Linked DNA regions of Sus scrofa. The protein of the gene in region 1 interacts with the protein of each later gene in a pairwise test. Links are inferred from orthologs where the notes say so. Each region holds a gene or a part of one and is shown on either strand. Other genes may lie near its edges.

Region 1 (6,201 bases):
CAGCTGCGGCGTAGGTTACAACTCTGGCTGGGATCTGATCCCTGACCCTTTCCTGCCCTGAGAATTCCATATCCGGTGGGGCAGCAAAAAAAAAAAAAAAAAAAAAAAAAAAAAAAAAGCAACTACAACTATTTCCACTGTATCCTCTCGATTTTCCTATAGATTGAGATCAGAAGGAGAAAAAGCTTTTTCAGAGACTTGAAGGTAACATAAGGATGAGTGATTGTTCTTAGTTGGAGTTCGTTTGTTTGAGATAACATTTTTTGCTTTTAACATTTCAATATAAGAGCTAATTTAACGGGAGTTCCCCTTGTGGCACAGTGGTTAACGAATCCGACTAGGAACCATGAGGTTGCAGGTTCGATCCCTGGCCTCGCTCAGTGGGTGAAGGATGCGGTGTTGCCGTGAGCTGTGGTGTAGGTTGCAAACACGGCTCGGATGCTGCGTGGTTGTGCCTCTGGCGTAGGCCGGTGGCTATGGCTCCAATTTGACCCCTAGTCTGGGAACCTCCATATGTTGTGCGAGTGACTCAAGAAAGGGCCAAAAAAAAAAAAAAGAGTTAATTTAACAACATTTGCAAATTCATGATAACTTATGATCACCCATCATTTGACAGGTCTAAGTGTCCAAAAGACGGTTGTCTTTCTGTCCTTTTGCTTTGAATTTTAAAAATAATCTACTGAGAATTATATACATTGTAAACCATCAGATTTTTATTAACATTTGATGGAGATTAGGGAATGCTATGAACCATGGCAAATACCAGCTTTCCTCTGTTAATTATTTCAAAATGTTATTTTAATTTTCATGTACTTTTTAAGGCCTGGTACATTTTCCCAAAAAATGGGAAGAACAGTATGTGATTTTTTTTTCAGTTCATGTTGTGATTCTGTCAGAGGCAATAACAGCTCCATTATACCTTTTTTTCTGAACAATAAATAATGAAAGAATAGAATTGGTAAATTGCATTTCTTAATTCTAAATGTTGAATTTAATTTTAAATTCAGTAGAACAACTAAATTTGTTAAAAGTGTACTCCTTTGGTTTGAAGAGGTAATATTAATTCATCAGAGATGAACTAATTCCCTCAACCGCCCCTCCCCAATCCCATCCCACCTCAGTTTCAGGGCATGCGTAGCTTACTGAAGCCTGAGCTAGTGGAGCCACTTGATGTGGCTTCAGCCTTTGAACACCTGAAGCCAATTCAACGTTTATGGCTTCTTTTCATTCCCAAAGGTCTGTGACCTGGGACTTCTTTTTATCTTTATTCATTTGTGGCTGGAATCAGTTCCGTATTTATTATACCCCATTCCCTAGAAGACTCAGATCTCCTTCCTCCCCAATGGGGCCGCCTTTGCCGGATAGCATTTGCAACAGTTTAACAGTCGTGTTTCTAAAAATTGCCCTCATCCAAGGTGAATGCAGCTGGCAGAATCAGCCAAACAACAAGGACTCCAGTGATTTTTCTAGAGGAGTCACGCGTCCCCCTCCCTAAAATGGCCACCATTTTTCCTAGAACGTTTCCTCAGAAGGTGAACGAGGCTTAAGATGCACTGCAGAACAATGGGACTCAGGTGATTTTCTAGAACATCAAGCCTCCCTCCCTCTCCAACCAGGTTGCCTTCCCTCAGTAACCATTTCCAGAGTCTAAAAATCAGGTTTCTAAAACTTTCACTCAACTACAGTGAAAGTAGCTTAAAGGATTGGCTACAGAGCATGAGACTCACATGATCCCCATCAACAGGCCGGTTGTCCTCTTCTGCAACCTGGTTGCCTTTTCCAAGTAACTTTTGCAACAATATAGCCACCATATTTCTAAAGCTTTCCCCCACCGGAGGTGAATGTAGCTGAAAGGACTGGCTACAAAATGATGGCACTCAAGGACTCACTTCATTCCCTAGAGCTGCTCCAAAATGGCTGCCTTTTCCCAGTATCCTTTGCAACAGTAGAAGCACCATTTTTTCGAGAACATTCCCTCACTCATATGGAGTGTAGCTTAAAGAATTGGCTACAAACTGCTCAGATGCAAATGACTGGATTTCCTAATGGCCATGGAGCATAGCAATCTCACTTGCCTGAGTCTTGTCCCATCCCTAAGATATACAGATGTACATATGTTTATTTGTACGTATATCTCATTTGTATATGCTTATATATTTTTATATTTTATATACTTCTACATAGAAATGCATTTATATACAGGAATAAAAACAAAATATAAGATATATTGGGAAAATACAGATATATAGATATACATATGTGGTGATAAATACAGATGTATTTATTTATTAATAAAAGAAAGTGTTATTTCACACACTTTAGAGTTGCACAGAATACGGTATATGTGTACTCCCCAAGCAATGTGTAATTCAGCATTCTGTACTTTCAATACTGAATTCCTAGCCTAACAATAAATAGTCCTGACCTCTTGTTGGACCATGTGGCCCTCATTTCCCTGCCTACTGCACAGGAGCTTCCTCTCTCACCCCTAATTCAACATCTGGCCTTGCTTGACCTCACCATCTTCAGACTTAGATCCCCTATAGCTGCTACTCTCAAACCCAACCATGTACCAAGGTCCCCATATAGTACCGTTTTCTTGGACTTGTTGGCAGCCAAATTCCAAGCTGCAGCAGAATCGGAAATCTTTGAATCCAACTTCTGACGGCTCTGAGAAGCACCCAGGGACCGGATTCCATGCTCCAACATTTCTAGGGAGAAAAATGGAGGTCCCAGGAACACACATACAGCTATACCAAAGCTTCATGGGCACAGGACACACCGGAAAAGGGACAAGAACTTCTCAGGAATCACCAAACACCCATTCACTGATATCCACTGGCCAAACCCATGTCTCAGTTTCTTCATCCATTCAAGATGTAGCAGGTATTTACCGAGCATAAAGCTCTGGGCTACATGACTAAAGAGAGGACAACGGCCAGGAGATAAGATGACAGCAATCAGGAGACTGACCGTGTATTTCTAGGGAGAATGAGGGTGGCAGAAAATACTCTGTCCATGTAGATTCAGATCAATAAAAACAAGACAGAAAGAAGGGGCTACGTCTAGAAAAGTCAGGAACAACACTACGACACAGACCTGAAAGAGTCCATCCCTGAAAAATCTAGAGAAGCCTGCAAGGTATATGGAACAGCTATAGCACAAGGGCTGTGAGGCAGAAACAATCTTGGGATGTACAGTAGGCCAGCAGGCCACATAGGCAGGAAACAGCAGGAAATACATGGAGGAGGTGACCTTGATCAGATCTTGTAGATCATGGTAAAGACTTTGGATTTTACTCTAAAAGGCAGGAGAAGGTATTGGAGAGTTAGGAGAGAGAAATCATTTGATTGATCTTGTAAACTGAGCCTTGGGAATGTTTTGCAATAGACACCTCCCTCATATCATCAATCCCTTTCTCTCCAACTCCCCTGTCACTCAAGCCAGAAATATATGTGTACGTGAACCAAGGCCACCCACACACGTACCCCCAATCCATGCATCAACATACATGCAGATATGAGTATCTGCCAAGCCACTCATGCACAGTTTCCCACACACACACTCACACACACACACATACACACACACACACACACACACACACAGGTGCAGGCACTCAAGGGAAGGTCCATTTCAGGGGCTCCTCACCTGCTATCAGCACTTGCTCGCGGCTAGGCTCCTGGCTTTTAGGAACCAGCTCTTCAGCCAAGGACATTTCTATCTTCTTGGTGTTAGTGGAGCCTCCTGCCATCACAGCCAGCTCTTCACTTGTAAGCGGTGGCCAAGGATGCACAGAGAGCAGAGCACGGAGGACGCTCTGGGAAAATCAGCTCTTTGACGGGTGGGAGCTCAAGGATATATCTGGACATGGGGGTGGAGCCAGACTCCCCCTCTGCACTCAGGCCTTGGACCCAGCACCTCCTGTTCCTGCTGTATCTTGCTGGCTGGGTTCGAGGCTTTGTTCCCTGCTACTCTGTAAGTAACTTAGGGGAAGAGATAAGGCTTGGAACATTTGTCTGTGAGAACCTCCCTGGTTCTTGGGCCACCCAATTTGGTCCCACAGGGGCACGGGCAGGCTCCACGCTGCATCAATTCTAGAAAGAGGTGGGGGGGGGGTCAGTACCCCAGAGCCAGTTTTTGGCCAAAGCAAAGTTACATCCCGGGTCTGTCATGGCTCCTGCAAGGCCGTCTCTGGCCAGTAATCCACCCCCCTCAGAAGGCATCTTCTGTAGAGCATGCCCTGCCTCCCCTCCAGTCCAGAGTTCCCAGGCAGGGCAGATGGCCTTTTGAGGCCCTGGGTCAGACTGCACAGGAACCCTTAGGGCCAAAGGAGGGAAGGCAAGAGAGTAGGGACCTGCCTACAGCCCCTAGAGCCCAGTTATTCCATCAAGCACTAGTCTATGTGTTGCTATCAAAGTCTTTTGTAGCTGTTGTCCATACCTACAATCAGCGGGCTTGAAGTAAAAGATGGGCCTAATCCTCGATGGTGTGGGTAGGCCTCGTCCAATCAGTTGAAGACCTTAAGAGAAAAGAGGTCTCCCAGAGAATTAATTCTGCTCAAGACTGCAGCATCCACCCTGAAGATTCCAATGCGCTGAACTGCCCTGCATATTTTGGCCTTGCTAGCCTCACAATGGCATGAGCAAATTTCTTAAGATAAAATTTTCCAGACACTCACACCCACATGCATATGTACACACACATACACATATATGTATCCTATTGCCTCCATTTCTCTGGAGACCCCTGCCTGACGCAACCACCAACGATGAGCCCCCAAGCCCCTGGGGGAAGAGGAGGCTATCTTGTTAAAGAAACCCAGCGAGCTCCAAGGAGGAAGAGGGGAGGGGGAGAGGAAGGGAGGAAGGAAAGGGCAGGGAGAGGAAAGGGAGGGGCCAGACTCGTTTAGAGAGGGTGGCAAGACCTGGGCTGCCTGACCCCCTCCCCAGCCCCATCTGTCCAGCGTGGGGAGCAAGCTCTCTGGATCAGATAGGATCAGGTCGGAGCGGACAAAGGCCCTGCCTGCATTCCTGAGGGCCCTGGAGAAGTGCCTCCCGGCTCCAACAGAGCAGCTACGATGAAATCCAAGCCTCCTGGAGGCCACCTTACGAACAGAGAAGTGCACTCTGCAGGACCTAGGAGCCTGGGATGCAGGAGCTGTGGGTTTCTGGCAGGCTGGGGATGCCAATTGATTTGGAATCTCAAATAAACCACAATTTTTTTTTTTTTTTTTTTTTTGCAGCATATGGTCTGGGCAATGTTTGGGATGTGGATAACTGAAAAATGATTCAGGGCTTATCTGACATGCATGTTTAACTGGGTATCCTGTATTTTATCTGGCAACCCTAGGCCCTGCCCCTCCTCCCCATGAGCTGAAGAGTTGACCTTGAGCAAGTCTTTCCTTTGGGCTCCGTCTCCCCATTGGATGATGACGCTAATAATCCCTTCCCTACAGGGTGCTTGATTTTGAGAGCAGTCACGTCAGCAGAGTGGGACACGTGAGGTTCTCAAGCACGACTGTGCACTGTTGACCTCAGATCAGAATCCCCTCTGACTGCCAACTGGCCCTGACCGGTTGGGGCTTCCTGGCCCTGGGGCAATGGGTCCAGGCGCATGCAGAAGCACTGCCCCCTGGTGGCAAAGGACCCGATCACTCAAAGCCACGCAAAGAGGATGGGGAGCCTTCTTTCCCAGTCTCCAGGCCCCGAGTGCCACCCAGAAACCCTGGCATCTCATGACCCTAGCATGTCTGCTTCTCTTGGATTGGGGACCAGGGAGGGCTGGGCTGTGAGAGATGAAATTTGCTGTGTAACTTTGAGCTTGTCCCTTAGCATGTTTTTCTAGCATCTAAACCTTTCCCTCCAATACCACAATTTCCTTCTGAAATTGTCCCAAACTCTTACTCCAAACACTCCCAAAGTCCTCTCTTGTCTGGCGTGACAACCGCATGGACCCAAAGGGCTAGAGTATCCAGGGTGCCAGGTTTAACGGGGTCCAGGAGCATAGCCCATGGCCGACTGTGAGCGGTGGGCTGCAGAGACCTAGACCCCTGTGGAAGGCTTCCAGAGAAGAGGCTAGTGTCTTCCCAACCTGGAGGTCCGACACACGACTCTGGGAGGGGGGCGGCAGGAGGGATGCAGGGGACATCTGGCTTAGATGTGTGCGTATATGTTTGCAGAGCGTTTTACACAAATGAGA
Region 2 (6,354 bases), on another chromosome or scaffold:
CTATACCACAGTCATGGCAACACCAGATCCGAGCTGCATCTGCAACCTATGCCGCAGCTTGTGGCAACACTGGTCCCTTAACCCACTGTCTGAGGCCAAGGATTGAACCCACATCCAAACAAAGACAATGTTTGGTCCTTAACCTGCTGAGCCACAATGGGAACTCCACAGAGAATTAATTTTTTTAAAAAATCACCTCATCTACCAGCCCCAATATTCTTTTCCCATAGGTGATTTCAACATTCCAAAGCAAGGATATAAATTCCACATAGCAGGTGGTCCTTTGGATGAAATCAGTGAGCTCCCTGCTGAAACTCCATTTCCCCCCTGGCTCCAGAGAAAGGGGTCACTGACAGGTGGCAGGATTGGGCCCTTTTGACCCCGCCCAGCTTTTCCATTCCATGGAGAGGCACGGGGGCGGGGGGGTAGCCACGGCTGGTGCCTGGGGAAGCTGGGAGCTGCGGCAGATCTCCTGGTGCCCAGCCAGCAGAGCCCACCTGCCCGCCAAGCCCCGGTCAGAGGAAGCAGCTCTGAGCTTGCCCTGGACACTGACCCAACTCAGCCATCTCCTCGCCCAGGGCAGGAAGGGTCCAAGCTGGAATCTGCCAGAGGGCTCGCCAGCTCCCTCCCCACCTTAACCCAGGGGCTAATTCCTCCTTCCTCACTTCTTCACCCTCCCAGGTGAACTGGGGGGAAGGGGGGGCACACAGTGTGCACTGGATGCACTGGGGCAGAGAGGAGCTAAGAAAGCCTCAGGCAAGAAACAAGGGGGTCCTGCCAGGTCTGGTGGTTCGGGGGGGGCTCAGGTTCCAGGGTGGGTCCAGGCTTGGTGAGTCCTTGAAGCTAACGTGGTCTGGGGGGCCAATTCCCAAAAAAATAACAGACATAACAGAAAAAGCTCTTTCTTCTGCAAATGGTACAAGACCACGAGCCCATGTGCACACATTGCTAGGGCCCCTCCAGCGCTTCGGAAGGGGTCTGGGTAGCACAGGAGGCGTCCTGGAGAGGAAGCAGCAGCCTGTCTGTCCGGGACAGGGGGACGACTTCCAGGACATGGGACTTTCAGTGCTGAAGCTGGGAAAGTTCTGGCAAACCAGGGTGAACTGGGACTCGATGATGCGCAGGCTCTATTAGCTGGAAGGTGAAGCTTAAGGCCTGCCAGACCCCGCGGTGGGTGCAGGGAGCAGGAGGGCGAACCGCAGGTCTTTACGTGCCTCTGCTGTGTGTCCCCAACGTCTTAAAAGGTCTCAGCGCCACTTGTTTTTGAAAAACACTGGAAGGAGGGAGTAGCCCCTCCCTAAGTGGTGGGATCACATGTGCTTTTTTTTTTTTTTTTTTTTTTTTTTTTGCGGTAAGACACACAACATAAAATTTACCATCTTCACCATTTTTAAGTGCGGTTCAGGGGCGTTAAGGACAAACGTATTGGTGTACAACCATCACAGGTGATTTAGGTTTTTCCAGTCATCAGCAGATATTACTTCTACGATCAGAAGAAAACCTACCTTTTTTTTAGAGCGCCCATCAGCCTGTATCGGGTGCCTCTGCTCACCCAAAGGTAACGAGCAGGACTGGGAGACTGTTGGGGGGCTGTGGGGGGGACTTGGGCATTGGATGGGGGTGGACCCCAAAAACCCTTATCCTTTCCAATCCTGAAATCCCAGGATGCCACACTCCTTCTGACCCGGGGAAAGCGCTGTGCTTCGGAGAGAGGGATGTGGGCTCAAACCCTCCATTGGCCCCTTCCACGCTCCGTCACCTTGGGCACCTCTTAGCCTCAGGTTCCTCGAGGGTGACACAAGCTGCTGGGGGAACCAGCTGAGTAATGGTGACAGCAGGGCTCAGTTACTTTGCCGCCTGGAACGTCCTCCCGCACCTTGATGTGTGTATATGTCCCTGTCCTTCCAGGCCCAATGTGACATCACCTTCTCCAGGAAGCTTCTGATTCCTCTCCTGGCTCTTGCGGCCTCTGCCTGGGGGTACCTGGCTCCCTTCCCAGCGGGACCATAGGCTCCCTGAGCTCCGAGGGCTGGGCTGCGTCTGAGTCATACTGCCTTCCCTGCAGGCCTAGCCAACTCAATAAAGCTTTGCTAAATGAAGCCATCAGAGGAAGAAGTGACCCGGGCAGACGGAACGCCCACACCTCCTCGCAAAGCCAGTGACTTCACCCTCCGGGGCCAGTGGCCCAGGGGCCGGCAAAGGGGAGCAGAGCACAGAGCCAGCCCACCTGACCAGGCAGGTAGCTCTACCTTTGCCAAGAACCTGCCAGGGTCTCTGGGGAGCTAGAGACACCAAAGATGAATGAATTGAGCGCTACAAACCCTCCCGGATGTACCCAAGGTGCCAGGCCCTGTGCCAGCCCTGGGGACCCAAAGACTAAAGAACAGGGCTTCCCTGAAGCCCTCGAAGGGCTCCCTACCTGGTGGGCACTTGGAGGAAAGGATTTCAATGGGGCCACACTCCCTGTGGCACATAAAGGGAAGGTAGCTCCCCTCTTCCTCGGGGAGGTGGGAGATAAACATCCAAGCTGTCCCACCCATCACACCCTAATACGGGCCTGGAAACCCAGGAAGTGAGGGAGCTTCAGCACCCCACCAAACACAGCTGGCTTCACGCATAGCCTCCTGGGGTGGCCGATGGTACCCCTGCCCAGTGTCCCTTATCCAGGACCCAGGCCTGTAGGGGCAAGACCCTCTATTGAGGGTGTCTGGGCAATGGCCAGCCAGCCTAGGGAGCCCCAGGTACCCCTCCCCAGGCAGCAGCCAGCCTCCTTCCCCTGGGGTGCAGCCCAGGCCCTGTGAAACCCCTCACCCCCTGTGCTGACTGCTCGCGCCTCCTCTCCCAACCCCAGGTTTGAACAGGGATCCTACTCAGTACTGGGGGGGTTGGGGGCAATTCTGCCTGAACCGACCCCTCAGCTCCGCACTGTGGGCAGGGGACCCTTCTCCTGGGCCCCTCCCTCCTCTGGCATCTAGATTTTGACACGGATTCCCAAAATAGCAGAGCCCAAGGAGGTCCCAAGGAGGCTCCTCCCACCGCTCTACAGCTCGGGAAACTGAGGCAAGCGAAAGGAGATGACGCGCTGCCCACCTCGCAATTTAACTCCTCGTTTCCCGTGAACATTTCTCGGGTGGTTTCCAGCCCAAGGTCACGCTGCGGAGAGGCAGTTCCCGGGCAGAAGCCAGGTATCCAGCTGCCGCCGCATCGCCCCACACGGTCCTGGCTAAGCCACGAAAACCCGGTTTCCTGCCCTCTCCTCCCTGAACGCCCCTGGCAAGCACGCGTGTACCCCCCGAGAGACGATCACGCCCTGATCCACCCCCCGAAAAATGCCACCCGAGACCAGGGTTTCGTCCCCACTGTCGCCGGTCCGCCCGGGCGGCCGCGCGCTACCAGAGCAACCAGAGCCGCGAGGTGCCTGGTCGCGGCCTGGAGGTCACGGCGCTGGGGGGCGCGCACGATGGGGGGACACAGGGAAGACAGGGCTCGGGGAGCAGGAGCGGGCACCCCCGGCGAGTGCCTGGACCCCCGCGCGGGCCCGGAAAGGAGATAGGAGTGGGCGCCAGTACCCCGGCGCGACGGCTCCCTGCCCGCGGCCGCGCCCCTGTCCCGCAGTCGGTGGGGTCGGGGTCTGTCCGGGCGCGCCGCCCTTCCCAGCGCCCGCACCCCGCCCCACCCCCGGCCTGGCCGGGCCGCCCAGCCGTCCTTACCCAGGACACGACGCGCAGGATGGTGTGCGGCTGCCGGACCAGGGTGTAGGGGTCGAAGGCGCCCCCGGCTTTGCCCGCTCCGTAAGCACCCCCTTCCATCGTGGCTGCACCCGCGCGGTGCCCCCCGCTCGGCGCGCGCCGCCGACCGGTGCGCGTGCGCGGCCCCCCCCCACCGCGTCCCCTGCTGGGCGACTGGCGCGGCCGAGGGCTCCACGAGGGGGCGTCGTGCGCGGAGGGCGCGTGGCCGGCGCGGCGCGGCGCGGACGGGGGGAGGGGCGGGGGCCGCGCGCGCCCTCGATCGCGGGGGCGCGGTTGCTGCGGACCCGGTCCAGGGCGCTCTTGTTTCTTGCGCGGTGACCTCTTTGCTAAGTGGGGGCGGCGGGGGCGAGGGGGGCCGAGGTGTGTGCAGAGGGCTATGTGCAGCCAATGCAGGACGTGTCCACGGTCCGGGGGCGGCCAGTCTACCCGTGCCTTGTTTCCTGTTGCTCTGTCTGTCCCCAATTATAGGGAGCGGGGTGGGGGGGGCGAGTTTATCATCCTCCTCACGGGGTGCTTGGCACACAGCAGAGGCCGCAGGAAGATTTCTGGAATGAATGAACCACGAAGGAATAACCCTCTTCTCAGAGCCTTCTAAAGCGCAGCTCCCCCCGCCCCCAGGACCTTTCCACCTGGCTTTCACACTGACGTCATGTGGTCCCCGCATCTGCTCACCCCCACCTCCAGCCCGCAGGGCCCGAGACACCTGGGAGAGGCTGAGGCCGAGGAAGGGCAATAAATTCTTCAAGAGACCACCCCCATCCCCGTCCCCTCCCACCGCCATTCCCTCCCCCTCCCCTCCCCTCCCCTCCCCCAACCCCCAGCACAACACCCTTTTCCTTAATCCAGTAATTATGGCATTATTTGTTCATTATCTTTGTCTGCTAGTCTTTGGATGTTATCTACCTTGTTCACTGCAGTAGCCGAGGGCCGGGCACGCAGCAGGTGCTCAATAACAAATCCTCGTCCCCATCACCCCCATCACCCCCTCAAAGCTTGGCCTAAGAGCTCCAGGTTTTGTGGAAACTGAGGCTGGCTGGAGGAGTGTTCGCCACAGTGGGACTAACACCTTCCAGGTCTGGCTCTTACGATGACCTGGAGTTCTCGGGGCCTCTCTCTGTGTCTCCACTGGTTCCAGGAGGGTTGAACAACGGTATCTCTAGAGGCCTTTGCAGCCCTGGTGATGACAGAGCATCCGGCATTCTGTCATCATGACAGGACACTAGATCACCAGGTCCTTAATGAGTGGGTGTGAGGACACCCCTTTTTTTTTTTAAATTTTTTTTTCAGGGCTGCACCTGAGGCATATTGGAGGTTCCCAATAGGGAACCTACCATACGCCACAGCCACAGCAACGCAGGATCCCAGCTGGGTCTGCGACCTACACCAGAGCTCATGGCAACAATGGAACCTTAACCCATTGAGCAAGGCCAGACATCGAACCCGCAACCTCATGATTCCTAGTCGGATTCGTTAACAACTGCGCCACGAAGGGAACTCCCACATTTTTTTTTTTTAATGGGCAAAAGATTTGAACAAGCACACTTCGCCAAAGAAGATATACAGGTGGGAACTAAGTACATGAAAAGATGTGCAACATCAGGGTTCCTGAGCCTGACTAGGAACCATGAAGTGGCAGGTTCGATCCCTGGCATCGCTCAGTGGGTTAAGCATCCGATGTTCCCGGGAGCTGTGGCATAGGCTGGCAGCTGCAGCTCCCATTTGACCCACAGGTGTGGTCCTAAAAGACAAAGAAAAAAAAAAAAAAAAGAAGCATGGGAAAATTTGGGGGGTATGATGGAATAATTCTTTATCTTGTTTGTGGTGATGGTTACACAGTGACAATGTAGATTTGCTAATACCTGCAACAATGTCCAGAAAAAGAGTGACTTTCATTGTATTGAAGTTATATCTACTTTTTTTGGCCCATGAAAACTTGCTAAGTTATTTTCCTAGTGATTGTACACCCACACATGTGGAAGTTCCCGGGGCCAGGGACTAAACCTGAGCTACAGCAGTGACCCAACCCGCTGCAGGAACAATGTCCAATCCTTAATCTGCTGTGCCACAGGGGAATGCCTATATCTAATTTTTTGGGGGTGGTGGGTGGTTTGTGGGTTAGGGCCGAACTCACAGCATGTGGAAGCTGCCAGGATTGAATTGGAGCTGTAGCTGCCAGCCTAGGCCACGGCAACTCAGGAGCCAAGCTGTGTCTGGCACACCAAAGCTCCTGGCAACACCAGATCCTTAACCTCCCGAGCAAAGCCAGGGATTGACCCTGTGCCCTCATGGATCCTAGTTAGGTTCGTTACCTCTGAGCCACAACAGGAACTCCCTAATTTTTTTCTTTTTTAATGGAGAAAAATGTGTACGAGGATGATAGGCTAAATCAGTGAGTAAAATTCAGATCAGTGAGTCATGTTCCATCATTTATTCAGTCAGTAAATATTTATTTGAAGCCCATCTTGCATTAGGCTTTGTGTTAGGCATAGGGCCCTAAGGGCGAAGAATTTAGAGATGGTCCCTTAGACCTTCCAGCCCTAAGGTTTGGTCACATTACTGAATTAAATCCCAGAAAGAGTAGAGTCTAGGAACCTGTGCATCAGAT
Region 3 (6,026 bases), on another chromosome or scaffold:
ATTTCAGAAAGCAGAGATATGGTAGTTATCCATTCTGAAGGTAAAAAAAGTGGTTTGAGGAGTTTCCATCATGGCACAGTGGAAACGAATCTGACTAGGAACCATGAAGTTGCAGGTTTGGTCCCTGGCCTCGCTCATTAGGTTAAGGATCCAGCATTGCTGTAAGCTGTGGTGTAGGTCGCAGACACAGCTTGGATCTGATGTTGCTGTGGCTGTGGTGCAGGCCAGCAGCTATAGCTCCAACTGGACCCCTAGACTGGGAAACTCCATATGCCTCAGGTGCAGCCTTAAAAACAAAAACAAACAAACAAACAAAAGGTGGTTTGACAAAGTTTGTGTATAGATTTCAGCATTAGTACTTCCATTGTTAAGTATGGACTTTGTTTCTTAAACTCTCCCAACCTTACCACCACACTAGATGATTAAGTTTAAGTGAAAAGCTAAATTGGTGTGCCCTCAAATACTATTAGAACACTGGTACATACCACAGCATCAAACTGGTTATGGTACACTTCTGCTTGGCTCTGCTCAATGTAGTGCTGTTTAGCATGAATAAAAGCTGGTATCCCCCCATATGCCCAGCCAATGATGCCTGCTGAAATTGCTGCCTTGTATATATCCTGAAGTTCTTTTGAAGTTCTCTGCTGTTCACTAAAACATCAAAAAGATAATGTTTATGGATACTGCTCTCCAAAAAACAGTATGATCAGAATTATCCCAAGTGCTAACAGGACCACATTTTTCATGATGGGCAGAACCAGTTAAATCCTTTGATGAATTAAATAATTATATTACAGTGGCTCAAATCTCAATCCAAACTAATACATGCTTTTAGAAATTAAGTTAGCGGATATTCTTGAGAAGGCAGTGACAAGAAAGGGACACAAGGGGGAGCTCCTGGATGTAATTAAGTCTCTTGCAGCTGGATACACAGCTATGTTTAGTTTGTGAAAAGTCATAGGTGGGTATACTTATGTAAATATACTTGTGCATTTTTATAGGTTCACATTATACTGCAATACAATTTTTTCTTTAAGGTGATTTTGACGACTGTTAGAACTCTACTATATCCCTGGAAACAGAAAGAATCTGTGAACTGAATGAAGGAAAACACATTTCCTTTTTTGAATTTTTAGATACCTTTGGCAATTACACAAACTAACGAGGTTTTAGGACAATGTATGTAAGAATGAATTCCTAGATGTAAAAAAAAAGAGTCAAAACTTTATCTTTCTGAATAATTTTTATGTAATACTCAGATGGGCTTGTACTATTAAAAAGCATCGAATGAGAAATCTCACTATGCAGTGGGCAGCGCAAACCAACATAAAATAACATGGAAAAGCTACCACTTCATTCAATCCATTAAGGAACTAGAACCCATACTGGAGCTTCCACTATACCCTCTGGAAATTGCGCTAACAAATAGCTAATTTTTTAAGTGTTAATTTCCTATAAATAATGGCCTTCACATGTAAGTAAACCACTAAATGGTAATTTTTTACATTACTAACTTGCTTTCTTCAGAGGCTGTACAAGTGTTTATCTAATTCTAACAGCCAGTTAACAACATTTCTGAAATCATGTAATCAGTGAGTTTTTATAGTTCTTGCATACATAAAAGGGATCACTAAATAAAATGTTAGGAAACTAATTCTTACATCAATAAGAAAAACTGCTATAATATGAACTTTATATATATATTTTTTTTACTTTTATATTTATTTATTTATTTGCTTTTTAGGGCCACACCTGCCACATATGGAGGTTCCCGGGCTAGGGGTCAAGTCAGAGCTACAGCTGCCAGCCACAGCCACAGCCACAGCCACGCCACATCTGAGCCACGTCTGTGACCTACACCACAGCTCACAGCAACACTAGATGCTTAACCCACTGAGCAAGGTCAGGGATTGAACCTATGTCCTCATGGATGCTAGTCAAATTTGTTAACCACTGAGACACAAGACAAACTCCTGAACTTTATATTTTAACTTTTATAACGAATAAGATAAAAAACATCATTTACATTAAAAACTGGTAGAACCCAGAAAGGAGAAAATATAAAAGAGCTTTAGATTTAACAAGTTGGGAAATGCATATGCTTTTCTCTTTTCCATCCTTTGAAAAATTCTATGACATAGGTGATACTTTTTTCCATTTTATCAATTGAGGCTGTAAGAAATTACATGATTAATCCTAACAGCTAAATGAATGGTGAAGAAACGGGGCACAGTGATGAAAAGGACCAATGGGATTGTGGTTCTGGTTCGTGTCATCCACTGCTAAGAGACTTGTGGCCAGATCACAATCACTCTGAACATTGGTTTCCTTATGCATGACTTAGTGGGGAGAATGAAAGTTAAACTAAATTATCTTTCACATTTCTTTCAGCTCCAACATTCTGTGGTTTTATAAAGCTGATCAAAATAACCCTTTTCTGTTATATACTATATAGGCTCCTTCACAAATATCTCAAATAAATTTTGGAAGGACCAATAAGAAGGGCGGCTTATCTTTAAAACAAAGATGATGAAACCTAAATAAAGTAATTAATACAATTCCACCAGCTCCCCTGCCTGAACTATCTCAGCAACATAATAAAGCTTCGACGTTAATTTAACCAATGTTGATAACACAGTATAGTATATAGTAAAGTACTTCATAAAAGGGCAAACTTTTTACCAGTAATTGATGAACGAAACAATGATGAAATTAATTATCGTGAGTTTTCCATTAAAGTTAATTCAATTTAAAGGGTTATTTCTTTTATTCTGAAACATCCTTATTTGTGAATCCAGCTAATTTCTTTATAAAATGATGAGACAATAGTTGCTACTATTTTTTATATATTCCTTATTTAGCAGAATAAAAATTTTACAACTCTTTCTGCTATCTCTGAACTTCCATTTTTGCGCCGGGGAGGAGGGCTATTGGTCATAAACTATCAAAATTTGGGATCAAGTTATATAAGAAAAGGAATATTGCAGTCCTGCAGATGTGGGTTCTCGCGTCACCAAGTACCTTGGCCCAATTCTTCTAATCTGTAAAATCGAGGTAATTACACTAAGACTCTACTCCCTAAATATCCCTAAAAGCTCTGACATTCAATGAGGCTCACCTTTACCACCTGAAAACCGGCCTGTCAATCATAAGAACCACCTAGCCGCTATGTTAGGATACAAGCTTGGAGTACAAGCACTAGAACCCAAAATTCCGTTTAAAAATAAATCACACCACCCTGGGGTCCTTCATCCCGGATGACCCAGGTTTCAGGTCACCTCCTTCGTAGCCCCTCCCCACAGACCGTAGGCACTTTTACTCTTTGACAAACAGCTCCCGGAGTCGGTCCCATCCGGATTCCGGGTATCGGGCTTCCGGGACGCAGGAAGGCAGCTTAAGGTCCTCCGCAAGACCCTTGGAATCGGTGGCCACAGCTCCAGCAGCAAAGACCCGAGGGAAAGGATTCAGCGCCCTGCAGAGCAAGCTCCGTGGAGCCGGCGGCCGCACCTCCATGGTCTCCTCAGAACCTGCCGGACAGCTTGGGCGCTCAGGGCCCCAAGGTCTCCGGGAGGCGCCGTGGGAGAAGAGCGAAGATAACTGCAAGAATAAGTGACGAATACTGGTACACTACGCTCTAGCAAATTCGCGGCCGTAGCGGTAGCCACACACCGTGACAGACCTGCACTCCCAGACTAACCTCACTTTGGAAGCCCTTGGACACACGAGACAGGAAGTCCCGCCCCAACCAGGGCAAAGGCTACTGGGCTGGGCGAGGGCGGAGCCGGAGCCGGAAGCACTTCCGGTTTGAGGTGGGACGGATCTTAGAGGTGGCAAGCTGACTCGCCGGAAGTGAGCTGGCGGCGTGTAACAGCTCTCTGCACCGTCTGGCCCCCGCCTCCTGCGCCAGTGAAACTGTGTGGGGCAGTTTCCAGGCAACCAGACCGGGTCATTAGCTGAAGTAGGTTAGCGTATTTTATTTTTTATGTAATTTTTATTTTTCCATTATAGTTGATTTACAGTGTTCTGACAATTTCTAGTGTAAAGCATAATTACCCAGTCATACATAGGCTTTTTCTCACATTATCCTCTATGATGTTCCATCACAAGTGACTCGATACAGTTCCCTGTGCTATATAGCAGGATCTCATTGCTTATCTACTCCAAATGCAATAGTTTGAAGTTAGCTTATTTTAAAAAGCAGGAATGTAGATGAAGAAAGTGCAGTGTTCAACACAAATGGGGTACAGAAAGGGGAAGGCAGTTTGCAGAACTACAAGCCCAACCCACCCTGTCATAGCTCGGGAAACCTCTGAGGTTGGGCGAGGTCTATTCTCGATTTCAGAAAGTTAGGAGGCTTTTAAGAGGGGTCTTGTTGCCAGTTACACCCAGATTTCCAGAACATTTTTATGTAGAAGAATCGGTTCAGGGCTTCACAAGATGGGTTTTATTCACCTTGGTTCATATAACTACTCTTTCTTAAAAGGCAGGACACTTTCTCTCAGATGTTTGCTTGGTAGTCCAGCAATAATTTCCTGTCACTACAGCCTCTGCTATCATATGCTTCAAAGTATAATTTTATTAAAATGCACGCTTATGAAGGAATTCCCACTGTGGCACAACAGGATCCGCGGTGTCTTGGCAGCACTTGGGAGCCTGGTTCTATCCCTGCCTGGTTCCTTAGCTATGGTTTAGGTACTCGGATCTGATCCCCAGCCCTGGAACCCCATATGCCACCTCGGCCAAAAACAACAACAAAAACAAGACAGCTCGCATGTTAAGTATTTTTAAACTGATTTGTGTTTCTTTTTTTTTTTTTTTTTTTGCCTTTTTTTAGGGCTGCATCTGCAGCATATGTTAGTTCCCAGACTAGGGGTCAAATCCAAGCTACAGCTGCTGGCTTAAGCCACAGCCACTGCAACGAAGGATCCGAGCCAGGTCTTCGACCTACACTACAAGGCAGGGCAATGCAGGATCACCAACACTGAGCCAGGCCAGGGGTAGAACCACATCCTCATGGATCCTAATTGGGTCCGTTAACCCCTGAGACATGAAGGGAACTCCTGATTTGTGTAATTTCATCTGATCTTTGCTAGGAATCATACACATTGTCTTCGCCAATTCCTACCCATCATTTATTCCTTTCTAGGAATAATTCAAAATAATTACAATCTTTAGTAGGATACAGTAAAGAGAATTCCAGAATTTGATAGCTGGAAGTCTCTAGATATGGTCCAGAGAAGTGACTGATAGAGTGACTAGCTGAGTTAGTCTAATCACAGTGCCAGGAAGAGCTCTCTAGTGTCTGGGAGAGAGGATTAGATTCAGTTCCCATCAGAGCACTTACTACATTGCATCATGATTTCCTCTTTGCTATGTGTCTCAATAGACTAACTTTGAGGTCAAGAGACTATGTTTATTCATCTGTGTCTCCAGTACCTACCATGACTGGCACATAGGTTGTCGAATGAAAAATTCAGATCCCCTGACTCCTGGCTCTGACTCCAGGTTGCCGTTTATCCCATATAGGCAGAGGTAGGCACCAGACTAAAATCTTTAGGTCTGAAAGCCCAAGGAAATGGCTGTGCAGGCTCTCTAGTCTTCATGTGGAAAATCTAAATGCTTGAGATGACATCAGAATCATTCTGGGATGAGAAGGACTTTGAATTGGAGGATGGGAGTGTTGGGCAGATATGAAATCATTCATATACAAGTCAAATGTCCCAAATTCTCTACCTTGTAGATACAAATGAGGATATAATAACAGACAAATTTTATTAACTCCATAGCTCCCTTCTTTTTTGGGTAACTGAAGCCTCCTTTTTTTTTTATTTTATTTTATGTCACACCCACAGCATATGTAAGTTCCCAGGCTAGGGACTAAATCCAAGCCACAACTGTGGCCTGTGCTGCAGCTGCTGCAACACTGGATCCTTAACCCACTGCACCAGGCCGAGGACTGAACCTGTGCTTCCAAAGTAAACTGAGATGCTGCAGTTGGATTCTTAACCCACTGTGCCACAGTAGGA
Region 4 (6,041 bases), on another chromosome or scaffold:
ACCCATCTCTCCTTCCCTGTCCCTGATGTGGAAACGGAGTGACAGAGGCAGTGAAAGAGTTGGTCCCCTGGTCGGTATCTGATCCCTGAGGCATCGCCTGACGGTAGGTGGGTCCTCTTTGTTTTAAAGGCATTCTTGCCTCCCTGTGTGGAGAAGTGACTGAAAGGTAAGGCTGGGGGCAGGAAGGCAGGTCGGGGGCAGGGCAGATCCCGGGGGACAGTGCTCCCAAGCACGTGACCCAGTCCTCCCCCGCTGTGTTCATCCAGGTCTGCAGCTTCAGGTGCACTCATTCCATTTCTGCTCTCCAAATCTTCAAGCTTGTTCCTGCCTCAGGGCCTTTGCACTTGCCGTGCCCTCTGCCGGAAAGGTGCTTCCTCTGGATCCTAGTTTAATCTTCCTTGTCATTTTGGTGTGTTTTAGCTAGACGTGTTCAGAAGCTAGAAAAAGCCAACTCGTGTGGCATTTCCCTCATCTTAAGCAGCACCAAGTCTGGAGGACGAAGGTCTAGGTCTCATGCTGTGGTGCCGTGATGTCCCGAGAGGCCCGGGCTCTTTGCATCTTTCCTCGTATCATCCTTCATGTGGTGGCTTTTGCCCTCATGCTTGTTGCCTCGTGGTCACAGAATGGCTGCTGCCCTCCAGATATCACATGCAAATTCTAGGCAGGAGGAAAGGCTGATGCCGCCTCCCTGGGCACTCTCATCCTGTCCCTCCCTCTCGTTCTGACCCTCTATCACTTCTTGGACTGTTCTTGTTTCCTGGCTGGCTGACCATTTCCTGCCACTGCAGTGAAAGCTCCACTACAGCACAACACACCCATCGAGCTCACTGCCAAACCCAGCTCCCAGCTCCTGCTCTGGCAGCAAGAATCAGGACAACAGTTTTGCTCCTTCAGCTTTAGGGGCCACAGCTGCTCCCTTCAGTCACCAGCCTGTGGGGGTCCTTACTGCCCCCCAGCTGCTCTGGCCCTCCGAACACATCCATAAACAACGCCTTGTATTAAATTCCTTTTGCTTGAAATATCTAGGATGGATTTTTCTTTTCCTAATTAGACAATGACCAAGAGAGGTAAAATCACCCCCATTTTATTAATGTACTTACTTTTCTTAGGGCTGCGCCCAGGGCTGCATATGCAAGTTCCCAGGCCAGGGGTCGAATCAGAACTGCAGCTGCCAGCCTACACCACAGCCAGGGCGACACCGGACCCCCCACCCACTGAGCGAGGCCGGGGATCAAACCCGCATCCTCATGGATACTAGTCGGATTTATTTCCATTGCGCCACAGCGGGAACTGGCTCACCCCCATTTTTCACAGTTCCTGTTCTAGAATCCCTGGAAACCCTCGGCATCAGCACACTGGTCCAGAGGAAACAGACGACTCACAAGGGTCCAGAGCCAGCACCTGGAGGTGGGCTGTGACCCAACAGGAAGAGCAGGTACTTCTCAGGGACCGAAAAGCATTTTAGCCACAGCAAGGAAGCTCTGAATTTGCGACGGAAGCTGGAGGGGAGAGCAGCCTCCAAAGAACGGAGGGGCTCCAAGGCTGCCCTGACGGGCTTGAGCGGCGTCTGGTAGGTAATGAGGGTCTGTGGAACGGCCTCAAACGTTCCGTTCTGCTGGCGAATGCGAACTGCAAGGAAATCCTGGGGACCCTTCGGTGGGGGAGCCGCATCGGGGCGCCGGCTCGCCCGGTGCGTCCAGACCTGAGGGCTGAGAGCAGGGGCCGCGCTTCTCCGTTTCTGACCCCGGAGCGGATTTCCGCACGACAGTGGCTCAAACAGTTATGGGGCCAACTAATACGTCCAGCCACGTTGTGTGGAGAGCAGTTGAGGGACTGCGACTTCAAAGGCTGCAGGGACCCCCGGACTGGCCCCGGCTCCGCGGGAACAGCGCTTAGGAGTCACCGGGCTGCGCCGCCTGCCCGTCGCGGCTGCGTCCAGGCAGGGCCCCGTCGGCGGGGTGATGGGCCAGCACTGCCTTCTCAGGGGCCGAGGGCTGGACTGCGTTTTCGTCACCGCGGCCGGACAGGAGCGGGATATGCGCGCGGAGCCCGGTCTCTCCCAGCCGCCGCCACACGTTAAGTTCGGCCCCTTCTCCTCTTCCAGACCCTCCCCGCCGACGGCTTGCCAGCAAGGACTCGGTGGCGGCGGGAGCCGCTTGTGCCTAGCCTCCCGAGGATGTGGGGGACGAGCGGGAGCGGCCCCTCGGTGACCTCGAGCGGCAGGCCCTCCGGAAGGGCCCGGGGCGCCGAGGAGTCGAGCCCGGAAGTGGGCTTTCCGCGCCGCTGGGCTGGCCTGCGTTTCCCGGGCGGCTTCGGGGCAGGCCTTGCCTGCGCGCGGTGCATTGTGGACCTTGTGGTCCCGCGGGGCCCGGCCCCAGCCGGGGGCTCTGTCTGGGGCGGCGGCCGGACTACATCTCCCTCCCGCCCGTGCGCTGTCGCGAGGCCGCCCGGCGCGAGGCTTTCGCGAGCGGAGAGTCTCCAAGATGGCCGCGTGGGGAAGGAGGCGTCTCGGCCCGGGCGGCGGCGGCCCCGCGCGAGAGAGGTGAGACGGGCGCTGTTCCCTTCCCTGCGGGCGGCGCGGGGCGGGAAGCCGGCGACGCCCTTGGGGTTGCAGCACTGCCCCTGCCTCCGACGCGCGGCTCTCCCCGGTGCATCCGCCGGCCGCGCGGGGTCCCGGTTCCGGCCTCCGCGGCCTCCGCGGCGGGCCCGGGGAGGGGCGACGGCAGCCCGGGCACCGTCGGGCCGCCGCGGGGCCCGCCTGAATGCCGCGGGCCGAGCGGCACCAGAGCCCGCCCGCCTGGTCGCGCGGGGAGTTCTTTCGGCCGCGGCGAGGGGTGGCTCCCGGGACGGAGCGGGAAGGGGAAGCCTTCCCATCGCGGGTCGGTGCGGGAAGCGCGGTGCGGTCCGCACGTTTACCGGGGCCTCCGCCTTCCGCTCTGTGGCCTCCGGGCTCCAAGCCGGCCGCTTTTCTCCGGGGGTGATTCCTGGGACTTTGGAGGCTTCTCTGCGAGCGCCCCTGCCGTGGAAGTCCTTTGCAGTGACCTTTCCTAACGAAGGGTGTGTTACGAGTAGGGAGCTAGGGGCTTGTTTCTTTCAAGGTGGATTTTGATTTAGAGGACTCATTTCTAGAAGACGAGGTGGGAGTAGTTGTCGTGTTTCGTGTCGAGTTCACAGTTTTTGCTCCTAGAAAACAGTTTAGCTAGTGGAAGCCACTAGAAGCTGTTCACCCACCAGAAATTTGGGAAAGAGTGCTTGTTGGGGGAGTCACCTGGTGTGAATTGCCCTGACCATTCGCTTAGGACCGGAGTGGCCTAGTAGAGGTCAGCAAGACCTTCGCTTTTCTTTTTCGTTTCTTTTCTGTGAAGATTGGAATACAGCGAAGTTCTTTCTTTTTCTCCCTTTCCTTCTCTGTTCTGACGCTTAACTATTCTGCGTTGTTCCTTTTCTTTGACTGATTCCGTCACATGTTTGTTGCTCTTGCCTTGTTTTGTTAGTTGTGTTCACTTGCATTTTATGCTTGAGCTCAGCGTCACCCAACGTTGTCCATTCTTCAGCTCCTCTGCCTTGGAAAAGAAGCAGTGAATGAATGGCAAGCACGTAGGTATCTTTGTTTTCCCAGCGTCCACCTGGTATGTTTCTTAGACCCAGCTCTAAAAAGTTAAGAGGTGGAGTTCCCGTCGTGGCGCAGTGGTTGACGAATCCTACTAGGAACCGTGAGGTTGCGGGTTCTGTCCCTGCCCTTGCTCAGTGGGTAAACGATCCAGCGTTGCCATGAGCTGTGGTGTAGGTTGCAGACTCAGCTCGGATCCCGCGTTGCTGTGGCTCTGGCGTAGGCCGGTGGCTACAGCTCCGATTCGACCCCTCGCCTGGGAACCTCCATATGCCTCGGGAGCGGCCCAAAGAAATGGCAAAAAGACAGAATAAATAAATAAATAAATAAATAAAAATAAAAAGTTAAGAGGTGAGCTCAGTGGTTTCCACATGGCCTTAAAATCTTGCCAACGTGTTCAAGATCGGTGTTGCAGACATTCGTCCTTTAGGAATAAGAAATAACCCGTTTAGAAAACTCGGTGTCACAGAGCGAGAGAGCGCGCCTCCTTCCTGGAGGCAGACGGAAGGGGCCGGCTGGGCCTGCCCCGGACGTCACCCAGGGCTGTGCTAGCAGCAGTTAGGCTTCTACTCATCCAATAGATTTGATGTTGGGTTTTTTTTTTTTCTCTTTGGTTTGAGACAGGAGTTAATTCAAAACGAAGTTTGCAAACCAGGATTCCCACCGGGCTGAATCCAGTCCTCCCTCGACTGTGACTCTCGGTTTCTAAGAGGATTGAAATGAGTTGCCAAAGCCTGGCGATGGAAAGATTTCACGAGAAACTCCTTGGAAAGCTGCATGGTGGCTCTTTTTGGTCAGGCCAGGTGCTCATCACTCCTCACCTGACAGCCGACTCAGTGCCCTTACCTGCCTGGTCGTGCTGGGTGTTCAGGTTGCAACCTTTGGCCTGGAACAGAAGGCCCTGCTTACACGTCCAGACGTCTCTGTCAGCTGGGAATGGCGCATCTGGTTTTGTGGTTTGGGTGGTACCATCTCTTCTCCTTACAGATAAGGAGTGCGGCGGGGAGCCCCTCTCTTGGCCTGTGCCGTGGGGCCTAGCAGGGCTTTGGTGGAGGAGTGTTGGCCTGGTCCTGGTGTCCCTGGGATCCTCCCATGCTGAGCAGGGAATGGAAACCCAACCCGCCAGCCCTCGGTCAGCTCGCTAACTTCTGGGCGCACCTCCACCCATGCCCCGGGGGTGGGGAGACTCTGGGCAGGCTGGTTGGATTAATTGATTGCCCACACCCTAGATGGAAGCTCAAGCATGTTATTGGCTCTTGGGACTGAAGTAGGCTGTTCAGGGCTCTCTTAAATGACTTTGTTCCATGTCACACCTGTGCCGGCTCAGATTACAGCTCACGCTGTGAGACCACTTTCCCGAATTGCTGCACGCACTTGGTTGGAGTCTGCTTTATGATGAAAGCGTGGGAAACACTGCCTGGTTTGGGGCAGGGGCTGGAGCAGAGCAGCGCTTTGGGCAGACTTTGCAGATTTGCCGGTGGCTGCAAACATGGAAGCACGCTTGGATTTAAAGCAGCTCCTGCCAGACTGTCCCCAAGAGTTATGTTGTCAGCTGTGTGTTAGCGATGATCCAGTTTAGAAAGTACACAGTGTGCGGATTCTTCACCTGGTTCTTGAGTTTCGAGCTGTGTTAATTCAGTGGTCGCTAGTCCCTTGTGACAGTTAAATTTTTCTTTTTGCTTTTTAGGGCCGCACCAATGGCATATGGAAGTTCCCAGCCTAGGGGTCGAATTGGAGCTGTAGCTGCTGGCCTGCACCACAGCCTCAGCAATGCAGGGTCTGCGACCTATGCCACAGCTCACTGCTGCGCCAGATCCTTAACTCACCGAGCCGACCAGAGATGGAACCTGTGTCCTTATGGATGCCAGTCAGATTCGTCTCCTCTCAGCCTGGAGGGAACTCCCATAACCTGAATTCTTGTCCACAGTAGGGCACGGACAGTGAGCACGCCAGACAGATGGCCACAGGTCCTGTCAGTGTCTTTAACACACTGGCCCGTCTAGGAGGGCAGGCATCTGAGTGTTGTGCCGCTGGGCGCCTTCCTAGACGGGCCATCTCACAGACCTGCCAGCTGTCCCGCTGTCTGCCTGCCCTCAGGGCCCCGAGGTCCTGTGTTCCCCGCCGTTGTGGGTGTGAGTTCAGCGTGTGGACACACTTGATCTGCGTCTGGTCTCTGTGGGAGGGGCAGCGCGGCTTGGAGGCCTGGTGTGTTCGCAGGGCTGGGCGTGCTGGACTAGAGGCGCGGGTCTTAGGGTCAGACCCCTTCTGTGGCCTCCCCTCCTCTGGCTTCTGCAGGCGTCTGTGCCCGCGTTTTCAGGCAGCCAGCTCTGCCGGGTCACGTCCACATCTCTCTGTCCTGCGCCTTATTCCCTGGGACTTGCCCCTCTTCGACAGCTTTGCTTGCTTTCTTTTCTTTTCTTTTTTCTTTTCT

Evidence for each region.
Region 2: the proteins of FATE1 (region 1) and SYNGR1 interact in binary tests that used the Homo sapiens proteins (3 or more experiments, as listed by UniProt). The two-hybrid records come from large-scale screens. The link is inferred for Sus scrofa from reciprocal best matches to the Homo sapiens genes FATE1 and SYNGR1.
Region 3: the proteins of FATE1 (region 1) and TIMMDC1 interact in binary tests that used the Homo sapiens proteins (3 or more experiments, as listed by UniProt). The two-hybrid records come from large-scale screens. The link is inferred for Sus scrofa from reciprocal best matches to the Homo sapiens genes FATE1 and TIMMDC1.
Region 4: the proteins of FATE1 (region 1) and TMEM11 interact in binary tests that used the Homo sapiens proteins (3 or more experiments, as listed by UniProt). The two-hybrid records come from large-scale screens. The link is inferred for Sus scrofa from reciprocal best matches to the Homo sapiens genes FATE1 and TMEM11.

What each region holds. Positions count from the first base shown.
Region 1 is NC_010461.5:123,103,704-123,109,904, reverse strand, and holds the start of FATE1 (fetal and adult testis-expressed transcript protein homolog), read right to left. Parts: upstream 3,820-6,201; 5' UTR 3,755-3,819; coding exon 3,652-3,754; intron 2,712-3,651; coding exon 2,593-2,711; intron 1-2,592. UniProt on the Homo sapiens protein: Involved in the regulation of endoplasmic reticulum (ER)-mitochondria coupling. Negatively regulates the ER-mitochondria distance and Ca(2+) transfer from ER to mitochondria possibly implicating it in the regulation of apoptosis.
Region 2 is NC_010447.5:8,898,362-8,904,715, forward strand, and holds the start of SYNGR1 (synaptogyrin-1), read right to left. Parts: upstream 3,830-6,354; 5' UTR 3,810-3,829; coding exon 3,711-3,809; intron 1-3,710. UniProt on the Homo sapiens protein: May play a role in regulated exocytosis. Modulates the localization of synaptophysin/SYP into synaptic-like microvesicles and may therefore play a role in synaptic-like microvesicle formation and/or maturation.
Region 3 is NC_010455.5:140,754,870-140,760,895, forward strand, and holds the start of TIMMDC1 (complex I assembly factor TIMMDC1, mitochondrial), read right to left. Parts: upstream 3,830-6,026; 5' UTR 3,698-3,829; intron 3,598-3,697; 5' UTR 3,514-3,597; coding exon 3,320-3,513; intron 652-3,319; coding exon 486-651; intron 1-485.
Region 4 is NC_010454.4:61,359,033-61,365,073, reverse strand, and holds the start of TMEM11 (transmembrane protein 11, mitochondrial), read left to right. Parts: upstream 1-2,212; 5' UTR 2,213-2,483; coding exon 2,484-2,542; intron 2,543-6,041. UniProt on the Homo sapiens protein: Plays a role in mitochondrial morphogenesis.